2 linked regions of the Pelodiscus sinensis genome follow. The protein of the gene in region 2 interacts with the protein of the main gene of each other region in a pairwise test. Links are inferred from orthologs where the notes say so. Each region holds a gene or a part of one and is shown on either strand. Other genes may lie near its edges.

Region 1 (15,455 bases), on a different chromosome or scaffold from region 2:
TGTTATTTCAAAATAACTTTGCTGTTTAGACATGCCCTAACAGATTTATTGGAGCATAAGCTTTCGTGGGCAAAGACCCACTTCGTCTTGCATGTAGTGGAAGTTCTCTGCAAGTCAGTTATTCTGAGAAGCAGTTGTTACCCCAGTATTAGATGGGGAAGAAGCTGAGTTACAGAACAATTTAGCTGCAGATCCATAAAGGCATTTAGGTGGCAGATTTAGACACCTAAGTCAGAGCAGAGGGACTGGACCCAGGTCTCCTCACGTGCGGGTAGGGGGGTTTACCTAACCACTGGACTACAGACTCTGTGTCTTTCTTTTCCTCTCCCCCTGCTCCAATGGTCCAATCTGGATAAATACCTAAGTAGTCGTGAGGCAAGAAAGAGATACTTCTTCTATAGCCTTATGCTTAGGGCATCCATCTGGGATGTGGGAGACCCAGCTCCCCTGCTCCAGTCACTCATTCGTTATTTGTCCACACAGTGGATCAACTTCACCAGGAAAGACTAAGGGAGCCCGGCACCATAAAAATATCCCACAGCTCAGTGGGATTAGAGCACTTTCCCGAGGGAGACCTCTATTCCAATCCTTTTCCCCTTCTGCCTGAGAGAGGAATTTCTCAGGGCCACCCACATCCGAAAGAACGTGGGGGTTACAGTGGATGAGAAGCTGAATATGAGTCAACAGTGTGCCCTTGTAGCCAAGAAGGCTAATGGCATATTAGGTTGCTGTGACAGGCCGCCAACGGCCCGCACGTTGAACAGCCAGAGCCACCGGGAGACGAGCGGGGCCATGGGCAGAACCCCCCCCGCACCGCGGGGCTGCCGGAGAGTGGCGGCGGGGCCGGAACCTGCCACCGCGCCTGCGCCAGTGGGAGGCTACTGGCCCCTCCCCCGGAAGGGCTCAGGGAGGGGCTGTTGCAGGGAGTGACAGCTGCGACATGGCTGGGGGAGCTGCCATGTCATCGAAGGGGCGGGGCCTCCAGATCGTGTCTGGCCCAGCGGGCCATTTTAAAAAGGCCCACCAGCAGAGAGCAGGGGGGCAGCCTCCTCCCAGGGAGGTAGAGACGTACCGGGGCCCAGGACGACCGGGTGCGTGCCTGAGACCGGCAGGTGGCCCGTTCCTAACCCAGGGGCTCCCGGGACGGCCCCCGCGGCTGGCCAGCCCCAGGTCGGAGGATGACCAGGACAAACCCCGCCGCCCATGGAAGGAGCGGCTCGGCCGGGACAAGATCCGCGGGAACAGAAGGACCCACGGGACTCCTGCGGAACGACCTCAGACCTGGAGCCCAGAATCCCGGTAAGCGCAGGGGTACTCCAGGGGCCAGGGGAAGGGAGGAATCAGCCCGGGGTGGGGCCTTCTGGCAACAGTAGGGAGATGTGTTACGGGAGGAAACACCCCCCGTCTGCCGTGCAGGGATGACCGCGAGCCCCTGCACTTAAGGCCCCGGGCTGGGACCCGGAGAGAGGGTGGGCCCGGGTCCCCCTCCCAACCTCCCACGAGCACCCAGCCCCTTCAGAACTGGAACGCACACAAACGTGCGAACTGTGGCGGCCGGACGGCAGGGCTGGCCAGGGCATCGCCCCTCGGAGGGGCAAGAATCGGGGCGCAAGCCCATTCCCCCCTGCTAAGGCGGGGTATAGACACGGGGGCCGCTGAACCCCCCTCTCCTGCCCTGCAAGGAGGGGGTGATCGCACCCAGCTTACGGGACGCACGACCGAGAATCCCGGCTGGGGGCCTGGTTAGAGGATGAAGGGGTTCGCTGAGTCTCCCTGCCCGCCCGGTAGGGGGTGATCGCACCCCATGACTCATCTACAGTTTCATTAGAAGGAGCATTGCCAGCAGATCCAGAGATGTCATTATTCCCCTTTATTCAGCTCTGGTGAGGCCACATCTGGAGTATTGTGTCCAGTTTTGGGCTCCCCACTACATAAAGGATGTGGATGCATTGGAGAGGGTCCAGTAGAGGGCAACCAAAATGATTAGGGGGCTGGAGCATATGACTTATGAGGAGAGGCTGAGGGAGTTGGGTCTGTTTAGTCTGCAGAAGCAAAGAGTGAGGGGGGATTTGATAGCAGCCGTCAACTTCCTGAAGCGAGGTTCCAAAGAGGATGGAGAGAGGCTGTTCTCAGTAGTGACAGATGGCAGAACAAGGAGCAATGGTCTTAAGTTGTGGTGGGAGAGGTCCAGGTTGGATATTAGGAAAAACTATTTCACTAGGAGAGTGGTGAAGCACTGGGATGGGTTAGCTAGGGAAGTAGTGGAGTCTCCATCCCTAGAGGTGATGGCCTTGACAAAGGCTTGACAGTCTCGGCTTGACAAAGCCCTGGCTGGGTTGATTTAGTTGGGATTGGTCCTGCCTGGAGCAGGGGTCTGGACTTGATGACCTTCTGAGGTCTTTTCCAGCTCTATGGTTCTATGATTCTATGAGTGCTCAAACCACTGAGCTAAAAGTGTTGGGGGGAAGGAAAGTATGTACCCACTAGCCATCTTTTTCTGTATTATTTTGTGTAGCGTGAGGCAGACACCTACCTCATTTCTGCAAAACACATCTCACCTGCCCAAGCTATCTGACTCCAGGCAGCCAGTTCCCATTCATGAAATGCCAGGCAGAAATAGGCACCTGTCTTCAAGTGAGGAGCGAGATTTAGCCTACACTCCTCACCAGCATCTCCCATTGGCTAGCTTAGAGCATGTCTACACTAGGAAATTATTTCGAAATATCTATTTTGAAATAAGTTTATTCCCCGAGGAAAGCAGGAGTACAGATTTCAAAATAACCAGCCTGTTGTTTTGAAATAATGGGCTTGGTAGTGTGGATGCTCCACTTGTTATTTCAAAAAAAGCGGGTTAGGAGGCTCCTTGCTCAACATGCTGGGTATTGTGGTTTGTAGTCTAAGGTGCCTGTCTCTCCCCATTCATTGTACTGGAGCCTAGGTGCCCAGCTCAGGGTTTGTGGAATGCAGTGTATTCCTGTGCCTAAAAGCAAGGCATTGTGAGGCTCAGCATTGCAATGCCCAAGTCCCTTTGTGGATGCCAACCACTTACTTTGTGAATGACTTGCTCAAACCATCTTGTATCACCAGTTAGGGAGTTGCCAGTACGTCCAGAAAAGACACTCTTTTAGAGCTGATTCAACCATTCTTTCCTCGCCAGATAAACTTAATTCCATCCAGGGTTAGTGTCTGAGTGCTCCTTCCAGACAAGACGTTAGCTTTTAAGGGCTAACTCCACCATTGTACTTAAACGCTGCAATACTGCATGTTGCAACACTTAATCCTTAGGTATTCTGCTGCCTAGTGGAACCTCAGCCCTGAGTTAAGCATGGGGAGACTTAGATGCCTGAGAAAGGATTTCATAGAAGCCTACATGCTGATAAGGGGGGGGGAATGACTAAGGCTGCCAGAAGAGAAATTGAGAGGAAAGGGCCCAGATTCATAAAGGTGCTTAGGTTCCTAACTCCCATTGATCTGGGTATCTGACTGATGGGCTAGAGGGAGGCACTTATCTTCACTTCTCAGCTGTGAACCTCTCCTGGAATTAGGTGACCAAAGCCAGGTTTCTCAAAAAACCTCACCCCATTCGAGTACTCATCTAAATCCTGGTCTCCCATATAAGTGTCCTGGCCACTGGACTATGGATTATTCTGAAGTGGCCTCAAGTTCTCATATTGGTATGGTATAAATAATTTAGTCCTTAGGGTACAAATGTGAACTTGTGTCTCTCACAGTACAAGTGAGTGTTCAGAGCTGGGACATGGACAAGGATACACACGCCTGATCCTGAAAAAACCCAACTCACCCCAGCTGTCATATGTGAAGGCCTCAATCCTGTAGGCATGCACTGAGAACACTGATCCCCACAGGCAAGAGAGATGGGGAAACATCTGCTTGAGAATCCTGTTTTGGGATGCTAAGTTTCAGTGAGGCCCTGAGCAGCTATTCAGCTGTGGGCAGATTCTGTGCTTAGGCAACTTTGCACACACCCACTGGTGAAAACTGTGTCCCTCTGGGGTCAAGAGGCAGCTGAGCAATGGATGTGAGAACATCAGCAGTGTCTTAACATTGGACTTAGGCTCCTAAAGAGGCAGTTGGGTCCCTAAGTACTATTGTGGATCTAGCCATAAGATCCTGCGTCTTCTCCATAGACATGGAAGTTGTCATAGTACTTTTAGGCCATGTCAAACCAAAACTCTGGGTTACAGCATCCAAACATTTTGGATCAGGATCCAAACTTCTCATCACAGACCCACTGCCATTTATGATGAATAATTACAAGAACAATGTCACAAACACAGGATTGTGACTTCAGCTGAGGAATAGGTGGCAGGAGTAGGGAACAAAGATGACAGACCTAGCAACAATTTCATACTAGAATAAAATCAGTCTCCTGCACTCCTCTTACACTTGCCTATTCTCTGTCCCTTTATACAGTCTCACCCCTGTTCGTTCAAAAACTTTCGCTTTGCCTCTGCCACCAGAAATAGCCTCCTGGTCTCCATGGTATTGACAAACTTCATTTCAAAGTATCTTTTCCCACCACTCAGACTCTCTCTTTGCTTACATTTAACCCTATGACTGCATTATTTAACATTGTCATGCCTTTTAGGCAGTCAGTGATATGAAAGATGCAATACGGAATATATTATTTTTTAATTTATTGCTTTGTCAAGACTGCACCAATATGCTAAAAAAGAGGCAACATTGCCTGTTGATAAGATGCTTTCTAAAAGTTTTCTATGAGGCCTGAATTGCTGTTTAATCAGTTGTATAATTAACAGCTTTGGACATTGCAGACATTGTCATCAGTTCTATCATTTTTCTCGATTATTACTATTGGACCTCAAGCCCCAGTTGAAGCCAAGGCCAGTTAATACGGACCATGGCCTTCCCCAAAGCACTCATTACAATGCTGTGAACCAGATGTTCCTGCCTTTCCTCCAGCAGCACATAGATCCTACAGATAACAGGGCTGAGACTTACTATACAGCCCGCAACTTAAAATCTGTACCAGCTAGACAGCTTTTAAATGTTAGGCAAAGAAGTTAATCTTATTGGACAGTTTCCACTTTGCAGCCCCACCTTCCTCTCAAGCATAGTATCACGTTTAACACCTCATATATTCTCTACTGTGAATCAAACCCTGTAATGGCAGAGGACTGGATACACTGACCAAATAGGTTTCCCATCTCTACTACCTCGGAGCCTGTTGAGAGTTTCTTTCTTTTGGTGTATGCCTGCAAATATAGTCAGTATAAGGATGGGGATTCTGGGCAAGAGGTGAATACTTCTCTCCTAGCTCTTTTGACTATAAACTTTTAACAGTATTTTGGCTCTAACATGGCTCTTTTCATCATCTGAAAATGTCAAAGAACATTATATCACATTGGACCTCACAAAAACTTTGGGATGCAAGTATGCATTTTCCCCACTGTACAGAGGAGGATACACAAAGCATAGAAAAGTTATGTGATACCCTTGTCCATGCTATTATTAGTTCCCACAATAGAAGAACTAGAAGACACCAAATTAAGTTAATGGGTAGCAGGTTTAAAACTAATAAAAGAAAGTTCTTCTTCACACAGCGTGTAGTCAACCTGTGGAACTCCTTGCCAGAGGAGGCTGTGAAGGCTAGGACTATAACAGAGTTTAAAGAGAAGCTAGATAATTTCATGGAGGTTAGGTCCATAAAAGGCTATAAGCCAGAGGATAGAAATGGTGTCCCTGGCCTCTGTTTGTCAGAGGCTGGATAAGGATGGCAGAAGACAAATCGCTTGATCATTGTCTTCGGTCCACCCTCTCTGGGGCACCTGGTGCTGGCCACTGTTGGCAGACAGGCTACTGGGCTAGATGGACCTTTGGTCTGACCCAGTATGGCCGTTCTTATGCTCAATGAGATAGCCAAGTTCATTCATCTGAGGAAGTGGGCTGTGCCCACAAAAGCTCATGATACCATCTACATGTTTTGTTAGTCTCTAAAATGCTGCAAGACTAGGTATTGTTTTTTAAGTTTTTTCATGCTCACTGAGTCAGTGCATAAGCTGCAAATAAAACTGATGAGTCCTAACACTCAGTTCTCTACTCTGATCATTAGACACTCTGCTAGACAACAGTCCATGTAGCAAATTGCCACCTGCTATACAGGATCTAATAGAGGAAAACTAAAATAATCCAGAAAAGAATATGGCAAATCAAAAAGGAATAATACAATCTTGCTGAAAAAAACATGAGTATTTATCTTGCAAATTTCTCTCTCTGAGATGTGGTAAATAATCTGCTTCTAGAACACTGTCTCCTGCATTAATGGAATCTGACCATTCATTGTCAAGGTGTCTTCTGTGGTACTGAGACTTAGATACATTTTTTGTACCATAAATAAAAATACCAGACATTTTTGGCTGGTCTGAACAGCTGTGCTGCCATGTAAACACTCATTAAAAGCATGGCTTTGTGTCCACAGGGAAGGGAACAATGCAATGCACATGGTACTAAAATCATCTCTAGGATGACCCGATATTTTTAAGTAAATTCCAGTATTGAGGATGGTGATTATAATATTAAAGATGTCTTGGTATATGTCCTAACCTAAAGTCTTAATCAAAATAGGTTTTCAGTACTCATCCTCATTGCTTGGTCTCTTACCTGGCAGCAGTCTCACTTCACAGAAACCATTCTGCAAATGCGAGTAATCTGCAGGCTGCCACCTCAGCAAACAGTCTCTGTACAAGGAGCTCACAGCACCTCTCACTCCTGGGGAAGGATGGAAAGTCTGTGCTGTACACTAGAGTATTGGCAAGAGAGAGTGGAAAAGTTGAAACTGCATCTGCCTGAACTGCACTGGCTCTGTTGACAAATAGAGGATTTCAGTTTCTAACCCTGCCACGGTCTCTCAACCTTCACAAGGTCAAAGGAGTTGGACTGGGCTTTGACATACAAGATAGGAAATCTCAGGCAAGGTGGAAGCCAGGAAGCACATCTAGGCAGTTGCTGTAACTCCCAATCCTCTTGATTGAGTAGTCATGTCCCCCCACACAGTGTCCCTCCTGTATGCAGTGAAACCCATCATAAGTGACTGCTCAAAGGGATCAGCAAAAATAAGTTAGGTTCCCTACAAAAGGCAAATCTTTAACTAATGTTAGATAAAGTGATGGAAACCTTCAGGATCCTTTTGCTAATTTAGCTCAACTGCTCATTTTTGTTTTTCTCTGAGGCATTGCATAAAGGCCTCAAGGGGCTTTCTTCTACTTGAGATTTTTTTAAGGGTAAGTCTGGCCTACCACTGTTTTGCCTGAAAGACTTGCAGGGCAGTTGTGAGGATAAATTCATGGTGTGGTGATGTTGACCATATCAGTACTTGTGTGGATTGTGATGAGGTGATTCCATTCTTCCCTGTCACCTATGAACTATCCCTGCTTGGGTTGTGTACAGCCATCAGGATTAGGCCCATAAGACCCAGGACATTCAACAGCATACAAGAGACCCATTGGAAAAAACCACCAATTTATAAAGATCACATATACATTTCTGCCTGTTGAGATATTATTGTTCACACTGAATTATGGACTGTTTTTTCCAAGTTATAGGGACAACACTAGTTACAAATTAAACTGCTGGTTTAAAAGGCCCAGCACAAACTAATATGAAACCAAATGCAATTTTTAAAAATAAGGATCTAGACGAGAGGCCTCCAAACTGTCAAACACACACCCCTAGCAGGGCATGGAGGAACAATCTGGGGAGTGAAGGCACAGTGGGCCCAGGCCAGCCCCTACAGCGGAGTGTGGAGGCAGCACCACCTGCTTTGCAACACCACCCACTCCCAGCCATAAACCAGGCTCCCGGACTGGCCCCATCCCAGCCTGAGTGCGGTTCCACACCCAGCCATGTGCCTGGCTGCTGGCCCCCAGCATGGTCTAGGGTTGCCAGGTGTCCGGTATTCACCAGGACAGTCCGGTATTTGCGGGCTCCGTCCGGTTAAAAAATAAAAAACCAGAAAATACCAGACACGTGAAATGTTTGGTATTTCCTGATTCCCTCAGACGGAAGCCCAGCGGGGACAATTTTCCCCTGCTGCATCTGGCAGGGGCAGGGGAGTGAGGAGCGCAGCAGAGTCGTAGCGAAGGGGGGCAGGAGAGGGCACTTGCCGGGCACCGCGCTAGGGGGAGCGCCGGGCTGGGGTGGGAGCAGAGTGCACGCTGCTCTGGCCCACGTGACCAGCAGAGACCCGAGAGCTGGCCACGTGATGCCTCCATCTATACACTGTGAGCCAAGGCAGCCAGGCTAAGCAGCAGGAGCAGCGACTTTAAAAGTCAGATTAACTTACCCAGCCGTCCCGTTCCTCCGGTGCCTGGCTCTGCATGGGGGAGAGGGGGAATTGATTGGGGCGGGGAGCTCCTGGCGCTGGGGTTTCCTGGCTCAGGGGGAGGGGTGGGTGCACTAGGGGTTAGTTTGTGGCCCCAAACTGGAGAGAGTGGTGCAACTTTTGCTTAACAACTTCGGCCTCCCCCCCCCTTTTTTTTGCTTAACTTTGGTCTCCCTCCCCCCCCCTTTTTTTTCCTCGTCAGAATTTTTTCCCAGCATGTTTTTTTTGGGGGGAGGGGGGGGGTTCAATATTTTTTGTTAAACCATCTGGCAACCTTTTCATGGTCTGACTGCAGCTCCACTACCACCCTCATTCTCAGCCCTAGGCCACACCTCTGTTCCCAGGCCAGGGCCTTAGGCTGGGGACAGGAACTGGAGCAGAGCTGCACCCAGCCATGGGCCCAGCTGTGGCTCTGGCTCTGCCACCAACCTTGTTCCCTGGCCGCAGCTCCATTTCTGGCTTCAGTCCCACTCTAGGCCCCATATCTACCCCCAGCTGTGGCCTCTGCCTTGGTCTCCTTTGTCCTCCATTGCAGGAGCTGCAGCCCCACTCTCAGGTGTGAGGAAGGGGCATAGACAGAACTAAGGGGGACATGACAGTGAAAAGTTTGGGGATCACTGAACTAGACCAATTATTCCAAAGTCTGTCATCATTCTGTGCCAAGTACAAAAGAGATGTTTACTCCATTGTCTTGGGGTCAGGATGCCTAGCCCCTTTAGGGGCAGGGCACGAGGCCTCTAAGACCTCCCAAAGAGTGCCGCACCCCATGTGTGTATCGGTACCTTTGGCTCAGGAACAATAACTACACCCCGTCTCCCCTGAGACAGTCCGACCCAGCAGCCACAGTCAGTAAAACACCCCCTTCCTCAAGCGTAGTGAGACCCTGTGGCCAGAGTCTGTAATTGCCCCGTTTCCTCAGAGTGGTGAGACCTCACGGCCAGAGTCTGTAGCAACGCTCCCTGCTCTCAGGGCAGTGAGACCTAGTGGCTGCAGTCAGTAAGAAGCTCCCTCTTTTCAGGGCAGTAAGGCCTAGCAATCACAGTCACTGTTGCATCCCCCTTGGAGGTTAATGGGGATGGAGTAGGGGGACCCAGGCCCACCCTTTCGACTTGGTTCCAGTCTAGAGCCCTGTCAGTGACGGGGTGGCCTGCCACTAGTTCAGCGGAGAATTCACCTGAAACACACTGAGCTCTCAGGGATCTGTCTCCCCATCCTTGGCTACTTCCTACCAGACTCACCGAAGGAGCCTCCTTCGCCACTTCCCTTCAGACTGGGGGCTTCTCCAGCTATTCCCCACTGTCTGGCCTCCATGGGTCGGTCCGTCCACAGCTCTTCCTCCAGAGATCTGGCAGCACCTTCTTCCCCAGTGGTCAGCCCTGACTGAGTTGCTCCACCAGCCTTGATATTTGCCCGCCAGCTGGGGGCAGACAAGGGCTGGGCGGGGGCTCTTTCAGTCAGGGAGCCCTGGTTAATTCTTACAAGTCCAATGTGGGGTTGATATACCCCGTCACATGCATGCAGAAATCTGGTCTAATAGGAAACACTAGGTCACCTCAATATATTATCATTTAGCTCTGAACTGAACAGTCACTCAGAAAGGGGCTATACAGACATGAGTTACCCACCACCTGCAGATAACTCTTTAAATTGGGTAGTAGCTACAAGAAACAAATACCTTGACTGCTGTTCAAGATGGCTAGATATGTGTGTTGCATATAGATGATATACTCTTTTACCCTTGAAGTAATTTGAATGGTTATTATTGTGTATGAACACATCAGAGGTACTCCCAAAGTACACGATTCAAATAGAAGTAGGCTGTGACCCTGAACAGGGTCAAATTCCAGATACACCCAAAGTTATCCAAGTCAGATCCGAATATTGTTTGGGTACCTCTCTAATACACTTTTTAAATATCTATACTAGCGTTTCTTAAACTGTGTTCAGTGCCATGGAGAGAAAAGAAAAAATTCTGCTCCCCCACCCCAGAGGAGAGGAGCTGTTCCCACACCATAGCATTTTAAAACTGCTGCCTGCAGGGAACCCAGCTCAGGCTCTGCTCCCCCCCCCCCACCTGGGGCACGCTTGGGCTCTGCTGCCCCCCCCCCCCCGGGGCAGTCTTGGGCTCTGTTGCCCCTCATGTGCTGCTCCTCTATCTCCCCTGCGCCTTCCCTCCCCAGCCTGCTGGGAAAATGGCAAAGTTTAATCTGGCGGGGATGGTCAGGGTTTCTCCTCTCTCCCCTTCCCCTCCCCACCCCCCGCCAGCAGGAAGCCTGGCCTGGTGCTGCTGCTGCAGCTGCGCTGGGTTCCCCGCTGCATGGGCGGTGTGGAACTGAGCTCTCTCCACACACACACCCCTCCCAGGAACAAGAGCATGCTCCCTGCAGGCTTTCCCTGCTGCAGCAGGGTACCAAGCCAGGTAAGCGTCCCCCCTCATGCCCAGACCCCACACCCAAACCCCCCTCATTCCCCTCTCCATGACAAGACCCCACATTCCCAGCTTGCTCTGACACCCTTCCCCAAGTCCCCTCTTGCACCCTCCCTCCTGGCCAGACACCCTGCCCCAATACCCGCTCCTGGCCAGATATTCTGCCAAGACCCCTCCTCAACCCTTCCTCCTGGCCAAGCACCCTGCTCCAAGTCTCCTCCTGCACCCTCCCTTCTGGCCAGACACGTGACCTTATTTAGCATTTGTTTATTATTACCCTTACTTTTTTGTGGTCTACATTTTCAGCTCTATGTACCAGACTGTTATTAGGTCAGTCTTCCTGGGGGGTCGTGGAGCATTTCGTGGCCAGGCAAAAACAGAATGTGAAGAGCAATTAGCAAAAAATACAAAAACTAACAGCAATTTTTTTAGTACATTGGAAGAAGGAATCCTGCCAAACCATCAGTGTGGCCAGTGTAAGATTGAGATGTTAAAGGAGCAGTCAAGGATGACAAGACTGTTGCACAGATGCTAAATGAATTATTTGTATAGGTCTTCACTGCAGAGAATGTCTGGGAGATTTCCACACCAGAGCTGTTCTTTTAGGTGACAAATCTGAGGAACTGACCCAGATTTATAGTGTCAGTAGAGAAAAGTTTGAAACCAACTAATAAATTAAACAGTCATAAGTCACCAGGACCACATGGTATTCATCCAAGAACTCTGAAAGAACTCAGGTATGAAATTGTAGCACTACTAACTGTGGTATACTACCTATTGCTCAAATCAGCTTCTGTACCGGATGACTGGCAGATAGCTACTGTAACACAGATTTTTTTTAAAAAAGCTCTAGAAGCAATCTTGGCAATGACAGGCCAGTAAACCTAATTTAATACAAGGCAAATTGGTTGAAACTACACTAAAGAACAGAATTATCAGACACATAGATGAACATGATACATTGGGGAAGTGTCAGCATGGATTACGTAAAGGTAAATCATACCTCACCGATCTATTAGAATTATTTGAAGTTATAAACAAACACGTGGACAAGGGTGCTCTAGTAGCTATAATATTCTTGGACTTTTAGTAAGCCTTTTGACAATATCCCTCACCAAAGGCTCTTAAGCAAAGTGAATCATCATGGAATAACAGGGAAGGCTCTCTCATGGAGCAGTAATTGCTTAATACATGGGAAACAAAAGGTCAGAATAAATTGTCAGGTTTCCCAGTGACGAGAGGTAAATGACGGGGTCCGTCAAGTATCTGTACTGTGACTAGAACTGTTCAATACAGTCATACATGATCTGTCAAAAGGGGTAAACATTCAGGAGGCAAAGTTTTCAGAAGATAGCGATCATAATTAATTTTGTAAGTCCAAAGCTAACTGTGCAGTTACAAAGGCATCACACTGAACTGCATGACTGGACCAAAAAATGGCAGATGGAATTCAATGTTGATAAATTCAAAGTAATGCACTTTGGTCAACACAATCCCAACTATACAGATAAAATGATGGCATCCAAATAAGCTGTTACCACTCAAGAAAAGATGTTGGCGTCATTGTTAATAGGTATTTGAAAACATCTGCTCAATATGCAGCAGCCGGCAAAAAAGCTAACAAGTTATGAACCATTAGGAAAGGCATCAATAATAAGTCAGAGAATATCCTAATGTCACTATTTAAACAACTTTAAGAAGTTCTGGTCAAATACAGTGACAAATACAGAGGTAAAATAACCTTTCTACTCCTAATTTAGATTCCTCAGCATCCCAGGATCACAATGGTCACAGCATCACTCTGAGATCCCACCTTAGGGATTCATTTTTATGAGGCTGCAAATGCCTGATTATCTTTTTCCTTATCAGAGAGGCATTTTCAGCTTGGCTGTAGCTAGGGTGAATTGAGAGACGATGTTAATAATGGAGCTGTTATTTCTGTGCTGCAAATACTTGAATGTCAGTACGGGCTGCATCTCTCTAAACTAGGACTCTCTGGATCAGTGTCCCACCAGACTGCGGGGGTGGGGGAGAGCTGGGAGTTGGATGGGGGAGGAAGGGAGGGAGGCGGGAGAATGCAGAGCCATGCAGCGCAGGGGGAGTAGGAGTCAGGAAGCTAGCACTTGGCCCAGCTGGGCTGCCTGAGGGGCCAGGAAGCTTGTTGGGGCAGCCTAGCAGAAGTGGGCACGGCCTGGGACCCAGAAATTACCGTCCCTGGTACAGCAAAATCCCGCATCCAGGACCAGTCAAGACCTGAGGGGGCCAGACCAGGGAAGTCCAATCTGTACTTTGAACATCAAGTACCCCACAAACTGGCTGGCATGAACTTCCTGAAGGGAATGGCAGGTCGTAACAAAAATGGATGGTCTGCAGATTCATGGCCACTTCAAATGCAGGCAAAACTCAGTATTTCTTTTCTTCATTAAAAAGTGAAAGTTGCTGACTGACTGGGGCCAGAGGGATTGAATATCTCCATTTATCCAAAGAAAAGGTATTACCACAGGCAATGAATGCTCCTACCATAACCCTTGTCCTCATTTTGTGGCCTCAAACCCAGTTCCTTAGGTACTACACTTTTGAGGTGGAGGTTAGGAAGCTCATGCTCCAAACCCCATTCAATTACTGGCCTCTCCCTAGAGGCTCCCAACAAGGGGCACAGTTCAACTATGTGGCACATGTTTCCAAGATTCCAGTCAGCTCTAATTTTATCTGTCACAGTTTTCCTATCTCTGCTTAAATCAAGTGACCTCAAAGGCTTTACTGCAGTGTCAGAATTCAATGTCAACTGGCAGGAATTCGGTCGAGACAATAGCACCTTCATTTCCAGCGTCATTATATAACAAGGATGAAAATAGCTGGCTCAGTGCAGTCTCTCTTCCAAGCGAAGAGAAGTTTCCAACAGCTGGTTTTCAGTCAGACACAGTAAATTCTATGTAAATCAGCCAGAAACTGAACTCCTAGTCCAGGGGTGGGGAACCTCGGGCTGGAGGGCTGGATGCAGCCCCTGGCTTGCCTAGATCCAATCACTGAGGCTCATGCTCTCCCCCTCCCCCCAACATTGGGGAGTCCACACTGGTGCTCCAGCTTCTCCCCTCCCCACTGCCCCACCACGGGGCTGGAGCACACAAAATCTACTAGGCTGGGCCCCCCAAGACTCTGGAGTGTAAGGGGAATGTGGAGAGTGTCTTTCTCCTTGTCAGTCAGGCCCACATCTGTGAGGACTTGTTTTTGGTTTTTTTTCCCCCTCACTTGTGTGCTGCCCCTGACTTCTGTGGGTCAGTGGCCTCCAGCCTACAAAAGGTTCCCCACCCCATCCTAGTCTCATCATTTCTCAGCCATTTCTCATATACCCCATTCTTCAGATACTGCACGTTCAGCCACATGCAATCAGTCCCTTTCAGGTGCATCCCAGAATCATTTGCTCCAGCTCTCACAGCATTTCAGAGAGGGCAGCACAGGGAGTTGTTTGCTGGTGAAGGTGAAGTACCATGATGTAGAGTTGGAAGAGAAATTCACTTCCTGGGTCTTGCCTTTCTCTGCTCCTGTCCCTGAACTCTAGGGCTGTGTCCAGACTCAGGGGTTTTTTCGAAAAAAGTAGCCTTTTTTCGAAAAAACTTCACCTGCGTCCAGACTCAAGCCGCGTTCTTTCGAAATTAAATCGAAAGAACGCAGCTTTTCTTTCGATGGCAGTAAACCTCATTTCACGAGGAAGAACGCCTTCTTTCGAAAGTTCCTCTTTCGAAAGAAGGCGTTCTTCAATGTAAATAGGGCTTCTTCGAAAGAGAGCATCCAGACTCACTGGATGCTTTCTTTCGAAAAAGCAAGCCGCTTTTTCGAAAGTTCAACGTGCAGTCTAGACGCGCTCTTTCGAAAGAGGCTCTTTCGAAAGATACTTTCGAAAGCGCCTCTTTCGAAAGAGGCTTGCAGTCTAGACATAGCCTAGATGTCATGTGGATTGAATCAGACATCACAGTGTTCTGCCTGAAGTCGCCAGCCTCCATTTTGCTCATTTCCCATCTACCATTTCTCTCCTTTCAACATTTTCCTCCTTTTCCCAGAGCATGTCTAGACTACATTTTTCTTTCAAAAGAAGATATGCAAATTCGGCACAAATTTGCATATCCTCCAATTGCATTTTCGAAAGAGGTTATTTCGAAAAAGCAAGCAGTCTAGACACAGTTCTTTCGAAAAAAAAAAACCTTTTTCAAAAGAACCTTTCTTCCTCAAAAAATGAGGTTTACAGCATTCTTTCAAAAAAGGGTTTTTTTTCCCCAAAAGAACCACATCTAGACTGCTTGCTTTTTCGGGGAAAAAAAAAACCAACTCTTTCGAAAAAGTGATCGGAAGAAGATGTGTAAATTCACATTGAATTTGCATATTTTCTTTCAAAAGAAAAACATAGTCTAGACATACCCTGGTTCTCACAAGTCTCCAAGCCACATCCTTGATATTTGCTTTCCTCTCTGCCCCACCATCCTTCCCAGGCTGGACACATTATTCTCATTTCTCCCGCCCCACCCACATCGGTTCTTCACTTTGCTGTCCATCTGCCCTCTCGTCAGCTCCCCATAGGTCCCTGTGGCACTTGCAGGTATTGTTGTTGAAATCTTGCATGCACTGATGATTCTGCAATTGCACTGATGATTCTGCAAATCCGACAGTAGA
Region 2 (16,098 bases):
GTAGTCTGTAAATCATATCGAGTCAGTGTATGAGTAAATGAGAGTCAGTGTATGAGTAAATATTGAGTGTCATGATGTCAAAAAATTCCTTGATCAAAAATAAAGATGACCTGGAATAGTAAGAGTGCATTGGTTATCATCAGACAGTCAATATTTACCAACCAATACCCCCCATGGTGATAGCTGACAGTGTAAAATATGTCTGTATTCAAAACATGCAACAGTTCATAGTGGTGTCTTAGATACCATTTATGAGTAAACAGTCATTTTTTAGGAGCAACCACTGTAGTCACTAAAGAGAAAACAGAAAAAAAAATCTCAATTCAGAATATGATCTGAATAAATATTATATCCAGAAATTATACTGAAAGTGTTAAAGTTGCAAAGTCAAGCTCTTAAAATTATGAAATGCCAGCATTAATGCTGTCTGTTCAACCATTATTTAATCCCTTTATGTGTATATATTATGAAACAGTTGCATGATCACATACTACTTTTGCCATAGGACCCCTTCTTCATTAATTCCCCCGTGGAGGGGGGAGGGGAAGAGTAGTACTAACTGAATGGGTAGCTATTTCTTTTTTATCTTGTTCATTTAGTGTGTGGCCCCATTAAATACATTGAGAGAGCTCAAAAAGCTACAGTGATGTGATTTATTTGCCTAAATGTTTTCTTAAGCCAGTTGTATATTTTTACTGTGCAATCCACTAGGTGTTGTGCAGGATGATGTAGAAGTAAATACTGCATCATTCCAAGGCTTTTTGATACTATATGTAACATGTTTGTTTTATTCCAAAATGACTACGTATAAAGATTTTCCTGAACAAAAACTGATCCAAATCTGACCTGCTCACCTCACCCAAAGTTTGGAGTTGGTCTAAACCAGATCTGAGATTTACAACTGACTGGCTCCTAGAATTTTCCCTGATCTTGATTACATAAGATCCTTGCGACATAGGGCAGCTAAGGGGGGCCCTGAAGGTAGGGAGATTGGGGGGCTCCTCCAGTGGCGCAGTGGATAAGGAATATGACCACCGAAGTTAATGGAACTGTGATGTTGCCCTCCATGTTGTTTATGGAAATATGCTTATGAATATGACATAACTCAAATATGCTTTATGCAAAATACTTCAGGTAACATACCATTAGAAAAGTTATAATCTGCTGAATATGTATATTCTATTTGTGTGCATGTGTCAGTCTTGTATTTGAAGTTAGAAATACAAAATATAAACCTGTTTTACTAATCTAGATGTGCTAAGGGAGGGCCATTAGTAGAATCTAACCGTCGGTGGTTAGCCAGCCCTCCAGGAACTTAATGGCCCAATACTTGGGATAATGATCTGTGAATAGTCTTGTTTTTCCTATAAGCCTGGACCAGGGTGGATCCTGTGAGGACATAGGGCCAGGTGACCTGATGCTGGAACCCTGATGCTGCACTCTTCCATAGATGGTGAGAAAACTTTGAACTGATCACAAAGGATTCCAACACTGGGAAAATCTATATAAAGACGGAAAACCAAACAATAGGAGCTGATACCAAATTCCAGGATATTCCTGTCTACCACCCAAGATTACTTCTGGAAACATTTATGACTGAACAGGGGCAAGCATTGATCTCAGGCTGGGAGGCATTCCAGCTTGTGAAAAAGGATGATTAGAACTACTGTTAGGGTAACGTATTGCAGATAACGAGTTTCTTAGTGTATTAGGCTTAGGTGATATATGATGTTTTATTTTACTTAGTAACTTACTTGCTCTGTCTGCTATTACTTGCAACCACTTACATCCTGCCTTTTATCTTATAAATATTTCTGGAAGTTTGTTTGTTTGTTTGTCCCGAAAGATCTCATAAACGGTAAGAGCTAGAAACATCAAATTTTGCACAGATACTCCTAATTTCCTAACTTAAATAACTAAATTATTTGTATCTCTAAATCAGTTCCCCCAGAGCCCCAATTGGGCCCACTGATAATTAGCTTTTAGTAGCGCCTGATCATAAGCATTTGCTGGACTCTTCTGTTAAACGTGTCACATAAACTGCAACTACGAGATCCTAGAGGATAAGGCATGTGAGTACCTGCAGCACCATCAAGGGAAGGCCCATGGGGGAGAGGCTGCAGTGGGGTAGAGAATTAGCAACCTCCCCTATACTAGGGCACCAGCAGGTCTCCAGGACAGACCCAAATGTGGCTGATGCTGGCTAGGGTCTAGCCTTGCTAATTGTGGCTGGGAGAAGCCTCCAGCTATCATAGCCTCTCAACATCTTCACGCAGCCGGGCTCTAACTGAACCCCTTCTGGAAATTACATTTGCTTCCCTCCCCCCACACCGAAACGAGCCATCCCACCACTCACCCTCCTTTGGGCTGCGTGCGTTCTCCTGGCAGGGCTGTGTGCGTTATCAGCAAGTGCCACGGACATTATGCACTTTGCAGGATTCAGCTCACAGTACAAAGAGGAGGTGGGTAGGAGGACCAGGTTTTGAGCACCATGGAGCCTGAGGAGGACACGGTATGCTCACAACAGCCTATTCTCATTAGAACAGGTACTTTCAGGTGTTGCATGTTCTGATCATCTAGATAGCACTAATTGCACCTGGTCTGAAGGTGTTTTACTTTGTCTGATCAATGCAACCGATCCAGCTGCGGCTAGGAAGTCCATTCAGGTTGCCTCATGGAGCGTGCACTGAAGGCACTCGGGGAGTGGCTACTTGGGGAGCAGTGATTTGCTGCTGCTGCAGAGCCCAGGAGACATCCCCTCCATTTCTCAGGGCATCTGGCAAGGAGGCTGCAGGCACTGGTTTGCACAGAGTCTTTAAGAGAAGATGAGCCTTCTTGATTTGTGGGGATTGAGAAAAGACACCCTATGGGATTTGTCATTTTGTAAGCACAGCACTAGCTTGGTTAATTTCTTAAAGTAATATATCAGAGAAAAGTATTTCCAATAAAATATGCTATGTTAATGTTATTGACGTGTTCATTCATCTCACCTTTTACTATATTTTCCCCGGGCAATGCCAGGTATTTCTGCTAGTACTTAATAAAATCACGTTTGTTTATTAAGAAACCCAATAAATAATTATTAATACCGGCGGGGAGGGCAAGCTGTTCATATCTCTCTTTCATTGATAAAAGAGGCAAATATTTTATGAATTTGCTTTTATACAGTTTTATACAGAGTAACCTAATTTTATTTTAGATTCTAGACACCATTGGAACTATGCACCTGGGTACCGTGGCAAGTTCTTTTGATTATCTCAATTTCTGTACTCTGCTGTGGACTGTGACCCTAGCTCTTTGCCAATGCTGGAGGAAACCAGAGGTCTGATCTGCAAGACAGGGTGGGGAGACACCACAAAGGCAGGTAGATGGGCTCAGTGGTATTTCAGCACCTCAGGTATGTCTACACTGCAGCATTTTTCTGGAATAATGCCTGTTATACTGGAAAAACAATACTTGCGTTCACACTGCTATTGCGTTCTTTTGACAAAAATTCGAAAGTATGGAGGGGTTTTTCAGTCAACAGTAAACCTCTTTCTACGAGGAAGAATGTCTTTTCCGAACAAACTTTTTCAGAAAAAGGCGTGTGTGGATGCAGAAGAAGGAGTTCTGTCGAAAAAAGAGGCCTCCAGGAAATAACACAGGTGCCCTGGTGGCCACTCCATCCAAACTAATCAGAACTCTATAGTTCCTGTCTCCTGCCAGCTCTTAAAGCTGAAGGCGCGCGGTACAAGTCTTGTGGCAGGAAGCCGGACCTGGGAGCTGCACTCACCAGGTGGCTCTGTCTTCCACACTGCTAGAGAGCTATGGCCCAGCCTCAACCCTGCCAAGAGCCCACTGGCCCTCATAGGGAGTATGCACAGGGCTCCCAGAAGCCTGCCAGGGGCACTAAAAGGTGTGTCCCATTGTGGTCTGGGGCAGAGATCCTGGCCCTCCTAGATGTCTGGGGTGAGGAAGAGTCCCTGCAGGATCTCTGCTCCAGACGTCGAAATGCTGACATCTGTGTCCAGATGGTCAAGGCCCTGGCCGCGAGAAGACACCACCCCCAGAGCCTCAAGCAAGTCAGGAGCAAGGTCAAAGAGCTCTGGCAGGGCTACACCAGGGCCAGGGAGTGCAGCTCTTGTAATGGGGTCCTGCCCCTATTACAAAGAGCTACACCGCACCCTGGGGGTAGTGCAGCCCCTTCACCATCCCGGTCATTGAATCAGGGCTAGAGATGCCTGTTGTCACCTGCCTGGAGCTCCCTGGCCAGGAGAAGGAGGAGGATGAGGATGAGCTGGAGGAGGAAGAGCAGACAGCCAGCACCATCACCCTCACCCTTGAGCCGGTACTCCAGGGCCTGGATATCTCCCAGGCATTCTCTGAAAGCAGGGAGGGGCCATCAGGTGAGTGCTCTCAGTTTTTCACGCACACAGTGGAGGCAGGTGCAGAGGAGATGGGGAGCAATTGTCGTTTGGACTTCTCAGCCTGGGCATTGTGCTGCACTCCATGTACATGGAAGCACATGCAGCGCCAGTCTGTGCCTCACGGCTCCACGGCATCCCCGGAGCACCCCCGGGCTCCTGCTCACAGGCTTTGGGGAGGCCACACACATGTCTGACCCCTGGGAGAGACCCCCTCCCACCACTAGCCACCGCTGGAAGCAAGCTGGGGACAAGGGTGCATGCACACACACACACAGACTGAGAAGTGACGCACACGGCACATGGGCATGCCTGCACACTTGAGCCACCACTCACTCCCACAGCCAGCGCTGCCAGGCGCAGGTGTGTATGCAGCCCCCATGGAAGGCCAGGCTGCTCCAGGCCCCTGTCCAGCCCATGAAATTCCCACTGTGGCCAGATACTTCCTTTGCCTTCTTGTCCATGGGACAGAGGAGGGGAACGGGCAGCATGGTCCCATGAGCACCTCAGAGCCCCTATGAGGCAGGGACTGCAGTCCAGTCCATGCATGGCCTTTCTCTCAGGACATTCCCATCCTCCAGCCCGAGGACTGTTGCTCACAGCTCACAGAAGAGGACATGGCCCCAGGGACAGTGTCTGCATGGATGACTGACCGCCTCTCCCTCTTTATTCTCCACAGCTGGACCAGCTGTCACTGAGGGGCGATCACCACCAGCTGAGCCAGCCAGCCAACCCTGGGGGAGCTGCAAGTGCCAGAGGCCTCTCCTGCTGCCCCTCCTGCTCCCACAATGCCCCCTCCTGATGCACCCCATTCTGCCCACCTCCCCGTGCTGCCTGCCCCGATGCAGCCTGAACCACAAGTAGTGGTCCGCCCCCGCAGAGGCAGTTGCAGGGGCCACCCCTCCCAGCAGTAGCTCCGCCTTCCCCCCTCCCTCCTCCTAGTTCACAGCCTCCTCCCCCCTCCTAGTTCAGAGCCGTCTCCCCCTCCCAGTTCAGAGCCTCCTCCCTCTTCCTAGTTCAGCGCCTCCTCCCCCCTCCCAGTTCAGACCCCCCTCCACCCTCCCACCCTACGTCCCCCCATTGTAAATAAAAAGTTCAAGACGTTGGTTTCCAAAAAAAACCTGTGTTGGTTGTTTATTGGGAGGTATGGGGAGGGGAGGAGGGGAGGGTTGGGGATGGGAGGGAGATGTAAAGGGAAACAGAGGCAACCCCACTGTGGGGCCTGGGAGAACATCTCCGTCAGAGCCTCCCATATGTGTACCCCATCATGGTGCGCCTGGCGGATGGCAGCTGTGGGGGGCTCTTCGAAGGCCTGGCCCTCGCCTGCCATCCATGCCAGGCAGAAGGACTCCCCCTTCTGCTCCATGATGTTGTGGAGCACACAGCACGCAGCCACTACCTTGGGGACAGCCTGCTCACCCATCTCCAGACAGGTGAGCAAACAGTGAAACTGGGCTTTCAGACAGCCAAAGGCGCACTCCACCTGGTTGCAGGCCCGATTGAGGCGGTCGTTGAACTGTGCCCGGTTGTGGTCTGTCTGGCCCGAGTAGGGCCACATTAACCAGGGCAGCAGGGGGTAGGCTGCGTCCCACACAATACATGTGGACATGGGCACGTCCCCAACAGTAAATTTCCACAGGGGGAAAAAAGCGCCCACCTCCAGCCTGCCAAACAGGCCGGAGGTTCAGAGAATGTGGGCATCATGTGCCCTGCTGGACCAGCCCGCATAAATGTCCATGAAGCAGCCACGGTGGTCCACGAGGGCCTGGAGTATGATGGAGAAGTACCCCTTGCGGTTTATGAAATGGGCCGCTCGATGCTCTGGGGCACGGATGGGATGTGGGTTGCATCCAGGGCTTCCCAGCAGTTGGGGAACCCCAGGGCAGCGAAGCCAGCCACCATAGCCTCCACGTCCTGCAGGCAGATGACTCGCTGGAGCAGGACGTTGTTGACAGCATGGACGACCTGCACAATAACACAGGGGAACGCATCACATAAGGCAAGGTGATGCCCTCTGTCCTCACACACACCAGGGCTCCCTCGCTCCACGGGCCACACACACACCCTCCCACAAGCAGGCCTATGCAAGGGAGGGACGGCCCAAACCCCTGGGTGACGAGGAATTCCCCATCGCCCCAGCCTGGAGTCTTGCCTGCCCCTGGGCATGGAGTGCAGCACCCTCTCCTTTCCACCTCCTCCCCCCCCCCCCCCCAGCACTTACCTGCATGACAATGGCACCAACGGTGGATCTGCCCACCCCGAACTGGTGTGCCACCGATCGGTAGCTGTCCGGGGTGGCCAGCTTCCAGAGTGCAATGGCGACCCTCTTGTCCACAGGGATGGGTGCCCACAGCCGTGTGGTGCTTCTCTGGAGTGCAGGGGCGAGCCAGGCACATAGCTCCAGGAATGTCTGCTTTCGCATCCGAAAGTTCCAGAGCCATTGCTGGTCGTCCCATTGCCCCAGGACCCAGCTGGTCCCACCAGTCGGTACTGGTGGCCAGTCTCCACAAGGGCCTCTCCACGGTGGGGTGGGGATGCCACAGGGTTGCCACAGCCTTCCTAGTGAGGGAGTCCAGAGTGACCTGCGCCTCGAGGTCCTGGACGATGAGTGCAGCAGCATGGAGCAGCAGCTGCAGGCAATCCAAAATGGCCGGAAGGGGCCAGAGCAGGCACAAGGCCACCCCTGGCTCCATGGCACAAGAAAAGAGCTGGAGTCAAAAAATCAGCAAATGGCACTAAGGCACAAGCTGTGGTGTCCAACAAGGCAGAGGGCAACCACAAGTAGAACTGCTATGGCTGTCAGTCCCTGCAAGAGGTCCTACAGCTCACAGCAGGAGAGAAACGGCTGTCTGGGGAGATCCCTTTAAGCATGTCTCTCAAAGGAGCTCCAGCCCCTACCCCAGGAAAGGGCTGGTGCCCTTTTGCCCTCTCCAAAATGGTTCCGGGGTCCTGCCTCTGTCCTGTCCCCCCTCCGTCTCCTCTTTTCTAAGCTGAAAAGTCCCAGTCTCTTTAGCCTCTCTTCATATGGGACCTGTTCCCAACCCCTGATCATTTTAGTTGCCCTCCCCTCTCCCAGCCTCTCTCTTCCCCTCTCCCACCACCTTTTCCCAGTCTCCCCCAATTTTGTTCAATAAAGACAGATTCCATTTTTGAACACAATTGTCCTTTATTTTGTACATCAAGAAGAGGGGCTAGGGAAGGGTAAGTGGAAGGAGGTGAGGGAGGAATGGGGCACGCGCCCCCGATGGGGAGGTCTGGGCTGGCTCTGCGGGCTTCTGGGGGTGGAAGCTCTCCTGCAGCCCCCCAATTGCCCCCTCTCCCCAGATGGCAGCCTGCGGCAAGTGCAGCCGGTCTGATGGCCGAGTGCTGTGATGTGCCCAGTGTGGGTACTCCGGGCAATCCAAGCCAGGACTGCTTTGCAAGCGGGACACCCCTGAGAACTGTCTGTCCGGGGTGGGGGTCAGGACCCTTTAAGCACAGCCCTCGGCTAGCCTGAGACAGCATCTCCACGCTCTAAGTCCTCCTCTGATGCCCTGCCGGCACTGCTTCCGGCCATCCTTAAGCCTGGTTCAGGGTCCACTTAATGTGGACATGCTAGTTCGAATTAGCAAAACGCTAATTCGAACTAGTTTTTTAGTCTGGATCCGTTAGTTCAAATTAACTAATTCGAACTAAGTTAGTTCAAATTAACGTTGTAGTGTAGACGTACTCTAAGGTCCAGCGGCCTGTAGTACTAGTCCCCGCTTTGCACCTTACACTGCAGTGTTTTTGGCCAGCACATCACATCCTTCTGTTTGTCCTTTGCAAACCTGCCTTTTCCTGCTGTCCTCCTTACTGCACCCTCATTTCCTGCCCTTCCCAAGGCAGAACAGCATGTTATGGGCAAGCAAATGCCCACCGGCCCCGCTTGCTGTGTGAGATTCATGCCCTTGGCGCACACACACTCACCTGCCAGCTCTTCACACTCAGCTAAGGAAACTCTGAAATGGGCCCTTTAGTGTCTACAGGGTTCCTGCTTTGCCTGGGGACAAGCATTTGTGATTTTGTGATTAGCTGTAACTGAAGAGATTCTTTCTTGGCTGAAGCAGCTTCTGGGAATAAGCCTCAGTCTCTCCCTGCTCTTCCCTCCCCCATCTCCTTCCTTTCCCTCCATCTTTTATGGCTGTTGCCATGGAGCCTAGCGAGCTCCGTGCTGCAGCAAGGGAGGGAGGAGGAGGCAGCAGTGCCTTCTGCAATTCCAGGTTCTGCTCAGTGAGCTCATCACCCTCCTCCGAGGAGGAGGGAGGCGGCTGGCTATTGCTGCTGCTGCTCCGGGTGGGTGGGCGGTTTACATCCTCAGCATCACCAAGCAGGGGGTGGGGGGAATATCCCAGCAGCTGCTGATGTTGGGCTCTGAAGCAGCCTCAGTAACTGGGAAAATGGATTCAGCTTGCACATCCCTTGCCTTTCAGCATCTTCTCCTGGTTTCAACATGGTGAGCCAGCACTGCCTTTATTGCTGATATTCATGATTGTGGCCGAGGATCATTCTTCTCATGCTGTTGCTGTTTTTTTCTGATCTGGTTGTGCTGCTTATCTTTACTATGTTTGTGAAAGAATGACTTTCATCCGAGCTGTTAGAGAGAGCTTAGGGGCTGGAGCGAGATGGGAGGGATGGAGTGAGAGAGCTGGAGATACAGAAAGATGGAGAGCGGAGAAGGTATATGGGGGCTCATTAGCAGCAGTCTCAGTGAAACAATGTTCCAGGAATTCATCTTAGCTAACCTCATGCTCTAAACCCCCCACCCTTATTTATTTGTCATCTTCTTTCCTTTGCTGTTACAAAATGGGATGCACTGAAGACGGTTGTGGTTTTAAAAAAAGGTATTTTTTTGAAAGGTTTAGTTTGATGTCAGGAACTCCCAGATACTGGGTTGGGCCTCAGGGAAATAGCATTTGGGGTAATAAGTGCATCTAAGCCAAGAGCAATTTTGAAGGAGCTACTCTGATTAATTTGCTTGCAGCACAGATTTATCGATTTGGATTTGTCGTGGCTTCGCACGGGGCTTCGTTTTGAGATTCTTGTTTTTAAAAGGTTTCTATGCAGATCTTATTTTTGTGGAAGAGGGGTGTGTGAAAATATACTTACACATTGAACTGGGTGTCTTTGTATGTACAACACATGTGCTGTTTTCACTGCCAATAATTGAAGAAATATTCCAGTTGGGGGTGATGTATGATTTATTCTTCCGTTACTGAATTATTGTCCCTTGATTTCATTATGGCACTTAGGATAGATCTATATCATGCATTTGGTCTGTTTTATGGCACTAAATACTAATTTATGCCTGTCTTAATTTGTTTCCATTAATATAAATAGATATAAGATATGGAACATATACCTTATGGCCTGGTAATGGATGCATAGATAGCTATAGGTATAGTTTTATTTAAAAGTTTAAATTAAGATCTTGCAGGAAAAAATGTCAAACCATATTTTTAAACCTATTAATTTGCACTCAGAAGTGTCCCATGCACCATTGTAACATGAAAGGTCAGATTCTCCTTTCTGAATGCCCTGAATTCATTGCACCAGATTCTGCCTTGATATATACTCCATGCACATGCTTGAACTCTGGGAAGCATGTCAGTGTCATGAATGGTCCATTTTGTCCAATAATACTGCATTTGAGCCTTCCATCCTGGCTCAGGAGAAATCCCCATTGTTCAGATCTGCTGTTTGTGTTCATTCCAGCAGCATACAAACACCAGGCCAAAATCAGCTGTGCTGTAAATGTCGACAAAATGATTTCCACACCTGTCCAGAATCTGATTCCTGTGATGCAGGTGTAAATTCATGGCAATTCTTTTGATTTTAATTAGCTTGGTCATGGTGTGGGTGAACTCAGGTGTATATAGTAATGTAGTGTGCAATGGTTTGTCAGTGAGACTAAAAAGTGAGTGTCATATAAATGGATTTGGGGACTAAATTCAGGTGCAATGGATGTTGTACTCATTGAGCCAGAATCAATCCCATTTTCAAAGGGGGTGAGTCTCCATCTCTGGGAGCTTTGCCCTCAGGGGATAGGCAAATTCATCTCTGCTGGGAAATTTGTGGGAGTCCCCCCAGCAGACATGCTTGAGAGGAGTTGCTGACTCAGCGCATCTGGCCATGCTCTTTGCCAGGAGAGCCTTGTTGACTTTTGGAACATCACCTGTCAGTGGAACCCTGGGAGCTCTCCACGTCTGCAACCTCTCTCCAGTTGGACTTGCTGGGTTGGCCATTCTGTACTGGCTGAGGTTGTCCTGGCCTGGGTGTTGGATTTGTCCACTTGTTTGTGCAGTGTCCAGCACAACCCTGACTGGGATCTCTAGGCATTATTACAACACAAACAATAGGTAACTTCCTTTGACTGAATTTACCCCAACATCTTTCAGTGATTTCTACTTATATTCTCCTGTTTCCAGGGTTATTTCTAGATCAGTAAGCTTTTAAACATAGGTCTTTTGTATTCTAATCTTTTTTGTTTTCACCTCTACTTAATGGGGTGATAACGTAGGTGTAACACTAGAATGTAGTTGTGAATAACAAACAGCAGGCTATTATCACTTATAAATGCATGGGGGACATTCGTGACCTTTTATTATTATCAAAACTTGAAAGCAGCTAGAAAATGGAAGCATAAGTTCTCTACTGTTATTACAAAGGATAACTGACCTCATGGTTTTTAAGCCAGAGAAACATTGTATAACTCTAGTAACGAAATGATGCTAGAGTCATTTTCAGGTTTTGGGGTCTATTACCCATCCATTTCCTTGTATCCTGTTACGTGCCAGTTATTATTACAGATTACAAATGCATAGAAGCACTCCTCTTACTAGAAAAGATATTGGGCTAGATTTTGACCATATTAATGCTAGTGTAACTCTAAAGAAATCAATGGGCCTAATTCTGATCTCACACTGGTTTCACTCCAAGTGGTTTCACTTCTGATTTACATCAGTGCAAGTGAGAACAGAATCAAGCTGATTGGCTAACGGTCATGGTCTAGTGATTTAATTACAGAAATTAGTAACAAAGGAAGTTCTAATCCCTGAACTGACACCAACTCCATCTATAGCTTTGTCCATGTCATAAACTCTGCTGCCTGTGAAATGGGCTAATAATCACTAATTTAATGGAAAAACTGCTGTGAGGATTAATCAGCTAATGTATAGAGAAAAGCTGAGCACAGATAAGTGCATTTACCATTTGTTTTACATACTGACATGGGTTTGGTAAAAAAAAATTGTTTAGATTTGAATCTAGTTTGATTTGCTTGCAAATAGTACATGTGAAATTATCCGTCCTGCCTGTGATACACTGAGTGTGGAGTTATGTGTTCAGAGTATTCTGTGAAGGGTAACCCATAAACATGTAATGTGGGAGGATGATTTATAAACTGATTCTGCTTAGTTCACCTGGGGGAATGCTGCAGTCCAGCAGGTGAATCAGAGAAAACTGCACATGCGGTCCAGACAATGCTGCCAAACTTGCACCTGCAAAGGGCCTGCTAACAATGGGATGAAATGCTAATGCTACGTTTACTGCATACATTCCAGTGTCACATGGTGTAGAATACTAGCAGCTTCAGGCTAACTGAGAGCTCTGTGGGAATAATGAGAATCAGGATATTTCTGTCTTTACAGTCACCCTGGGTGAAAAATAACACAAGTTGCCCATCTTTATCCACAGCTCTCCATAATCCCTCCCCAAACACAGCAGTTCTTGACACATTTCTTTTGTTCCCCATAGTGTTCTTGGACTTGACCCTCACATCCACATATCCCAACTGACAGGGGGAGGAGAAGAGACGACACAGTGTGGGACCTCAGTCAAATAGCTTTGCAGACAACCTTAGATATGTTCTTAATTCTAAAATGATTAATGCAGTTGTCAGAGGAACAGAATAATTCGAACCCACAACCAATGTCTTGTATAAACATTGAGACAAATCTTGGCCTCAGGTCATTCACTTTCAAGGCTCCAATTGCAAATCAAATCTCATGTTCCTGCTGCAGTGAGGACCAGGCAGAGATACCACGTATGGGAATTCTGCAAGTCCCTGCTAGGAGAGTGGAATGTGGACATGCCAAGAACAGGGAAACAGTATGGGTTGTGAACAGTAAAGATCCAAATTCACATGTTGGTGAACTGCGTCCTCCTCTTCTTTCATACATGTTAGTAGCAGCCACATCCCAAGTTCTACTGATCCATTCTTGAGTGTCAAAGGGAAACACTTATCATGCATGTAATAATGCCTTGGGAAAAGCCCCATTACTCTGGCTTTGCTCCTGGGAAGAGAATATGGCCCCTTTGTAACATCACAATAATAAAATCATAGAACACTAGAACTGAAAGAGACCTCGAGAGGTCATCAAGTCCAGTCTCCTGCCCTCGTGGCAGGACCAAGCACTATTTAGATCATCCCTGAGAGATGTCTATCTAACCTGTTCTTGAATATCTCCAGTGATGGAAATTCTACAACCTCCCTAGGCAATTTATTTCAGTGTTTAACCACTCTGACAGTTAGGAAGTTTTTCCTAATGGTCAACCTAAACCTCCATTGCTGAAATTTTAGCCCATTGTTTTTGTCCTATCATCAGAAGCCAAGGAGAACAATTTTTCTCCCTTCTCCCAGTAACACCCTTTTAGTTACTTGAAAACTGCTATCGTGTCCCCTCTCAGTCTTCTCTTTTCTAAACAAGCCCAATTCTTTCAGTCTTCCCTCACAGGTCTTGTTTTCTAGACCTTTAATCATTTTTGTTGCTCTTCTCTGGACCTTTCCAATTGCTCCACATCTTTCTTGAAATGTGATGCCCAGAGCTGGACACAATACTCCAATTGAGGCCTAATCAGTGCACAGTAGAGCAGAAGAATGACTTCTCATGTCTTGCTCACAACACTCCTGTTAATTATCAGAGGAGTAACCGTGTCAGTCTGCAAAAATGACAAGGAGTCCTGTGGCACCTTATAGACTAACAAATGTATTGGAGCATAAGCTTTCGTGGGCAAAGACCCACTTCATCAGATGCATGTAGTGGAAATTTCCAGGGGCAGGTATAAATATGCAGGCTAGAGATAACGAGGTTAATTCAGTCAGGGAGAGTGAGGCCCACTTCTAGCAGCTAATGTGAAGATGTGAACACCAAGAGAGGAGACACTGCTTTTGTACTTGGCTAGCCATTCACAGTCTTTGTTTAATCCTAAACTGATGGCGTCAAATTTGCAGATGAACTGTAGCTCAGCAGTTTCTCTTTGAAGTCTGGTCTTGAAGGTTTTTTTTCTGCAGGATGGCTACCTTTAAATCTGCTATTGTGTGTCCAGGGAGATTGAAGTGTTCTCCTACAGGTTTTTGTATGTTGCATTCCTAATATCTGATTTGTGTCCATTTATTCTTTTACGTAGGGACTGTCCAGTTTGGCCAATGTATATAGCAGAGGGTCATTGCTGGCACATGATGGCCTGTTAATGCATCCCAGAATCATGTTGGCTTTTTTTGGAACAGTGTCACATTGTTGACTCATGTTTAACTTGTGGTCCGCTATGACGCCTAGATCCCTTTCTGCAGTACTCCTTCCTAGACAGTCGCTTCCCATTCTGTATGTGTGAAATCGACTGTTCCTTCCTACGTGGAGTACTTTGCATATGTCCTTATTATACGTCATCCTATTTACTTCAACCCATTTCTCCAGTTTGTCCAGATCATTTTAAGTTATGACGCTATCCTCCAAAGCAGTTGCAACCCCTCCCAGCTTGGTATCATCTGCAAACTTAATAATCATACTCTCAATGCCATCATCTAAATCACTGATGAAGATATTGAATAGAACCAGTCCCAAAACAGACCCTTGGGGGGCCCCACTTGTTATGTCCTTCCAGCATGGTTGTGAACCATTAATAAATCTGAGAACAGTCATCCACCCAGTTATGCACCCATCTTATAGTAGCCCCATCTAGGTTGTATTTCCCTAGTTTATTGATAAGGTCATGCGAGACCATATCAAGTGCTTTACTAAGGTCTAGGTATACCATGTCCACTGTTTCTTCTTTATCCACAAGACTTGATATCCTATCAAAGAAAGCTATCAGATTGGTTTGACATGATTTGTTCTTTACAAATCCATGCTGACTGTTACCTATCTATCTGGCTTCAAGATTAAACTAGATGGGTTTATGAAGGGGATGGTTTGATGAGATAACATGATCTTGGTAACTAATTGACCATTCATTATCAGTGGGAAATAGGTCAATGGAGGGATGATAGGAATTACTAGAGAACTTTCTGGGTGTCTGGCTGATGAGTCTTGCCCACATGCTCAGGGTTTAGCTGATCGCCATATTTGGGGTTGGGAAGGAATTTTTCTCCAGGGTAGATTGGCAGAGACCCTGGAGGTTTTTCGCCTTCCTCTGTAGCATGGGGTACAGATCACAGCTAGAGGATTCTCTGCATCTTGGGGTCTTCAAAGTATTTGAAGGCTTCAATATCTGAGATATAGGTGAGAGGATTATTCTGGGAGGAGTGGGTGAGATTCTGTGGCCTGCACTGTGCAGGGGGTCAGACTAGATGATCATAATGGTCCCTTCTGACCTTAAAGTCTATGAGTAAAGTCTATGAGTCTATCACCGTATTATCTTCCAGATGTTTGCAGATGGATTCCTTAATTATTTTCTCCATTCTCTTTCCTGGCACAGAAGTTAAACTGACTGGTCTGTAGTTTCCTGGGTTGTTCTTATTTCCCTTTTTATAGATGGGCATTATATTTGCCCTTTTCCAGTCTTCTAGAATCATGCATGACTTCCATGATTTTTCAAAGATGATAGCTAAAGGCTTAAATACCTCCTCTATCAGCTCCTTGAGTGTTCTAGGATGCATTTCATCAGTCCCTGGTGACTTGAAGACATTTAACTTTTCTAATTTTTAACTTGTTCTTTGTTTATTTTAACTTCTAAACCTACCCCAAGCTGTACCCTTCTATACCAATATCCCGATCATATGTATTATCCCACCAAATCTCTGTGATACCAATTACATCATAGTTGTGTTTATTTATTAGCTCTTCAATTCCTTCCTGCTTATTCCCCACACGTCTAGCATTTGTATATAGGCATCTAAGATACTGATTTGATTTTGCCTCCCCAGTTCTGCCTTGTCCCTCCTTTATCTCTGCTATTATTATAGCCCATGCTCCTTCCCCTTTCTGAACCATCTCCCAATTTTCCATGTTTTTCACTTACCTGTGGGTTTTGGTCATCTGGCCCCATTAAACCTAGTTTCATTTCAATGAGTTTTAACTTAAAATATGTTGAGATTGGATCCTAGCATGATATGGATATTATTGTACAAGACACCAGTGAAGAATCCAATCATTCAATGCTTGTTCTGGCAAAGGCCCATATGAATGCTGGCCACCTCAGAGATGCAGGAAGGGGATAGAGACGTGTGCCTTCTAGGAACTCACTAACAAATATAGCAATGGATGCCCTGGTGCTCCCAGATATAGAATCTTTTTCATGCTGTGAACAAATTCCTGGCCAGAGCATCTTTTACATTTCCTCAGCTACTGGGCTCAAGTCTAGGTAACCCACTGGTGAACATGTGTTAAAGGTCTACCACTGTGCTTGCTCCACAGAGGGCATGAGTCTGTCACAGTCACAGTTAAAGAGACTTTACTCT

What was found.
Region 1: the proteins of JAKMIP2 (region 2) and CLIP4 interact in binary tests that used the Homo sapiens proteins (3 or more experiments, as listed by UniProt). The two-hybrid records come from large-scale screens. The link is inferred for Pelodiscus sinensis from reciprocal best matches to the Homo sapiens genes JAKMIP2 and CLIP4.

The regions. Positions count from the first base shown.
Region 1 is NC_134713.1:160,481,046-160,496,500, forward strand, and holds the start of CLIP4 (CAP-Gly domain-containing linker protein 4), read right to left. Parts: upstream 6,762-15,455; 5' UTR 6,643-6,761; intron 1-6,642.
Region 2 is NC_134727.1:20,178,121-20,194,218, forward strand, and holds the start of JAKMIP2 (janus kinase and microtubule-interacting protein 2), read left to right. Parts: upstream 1-8,763; 5' UTR 8,764-8,877; intron 8,878-16,098.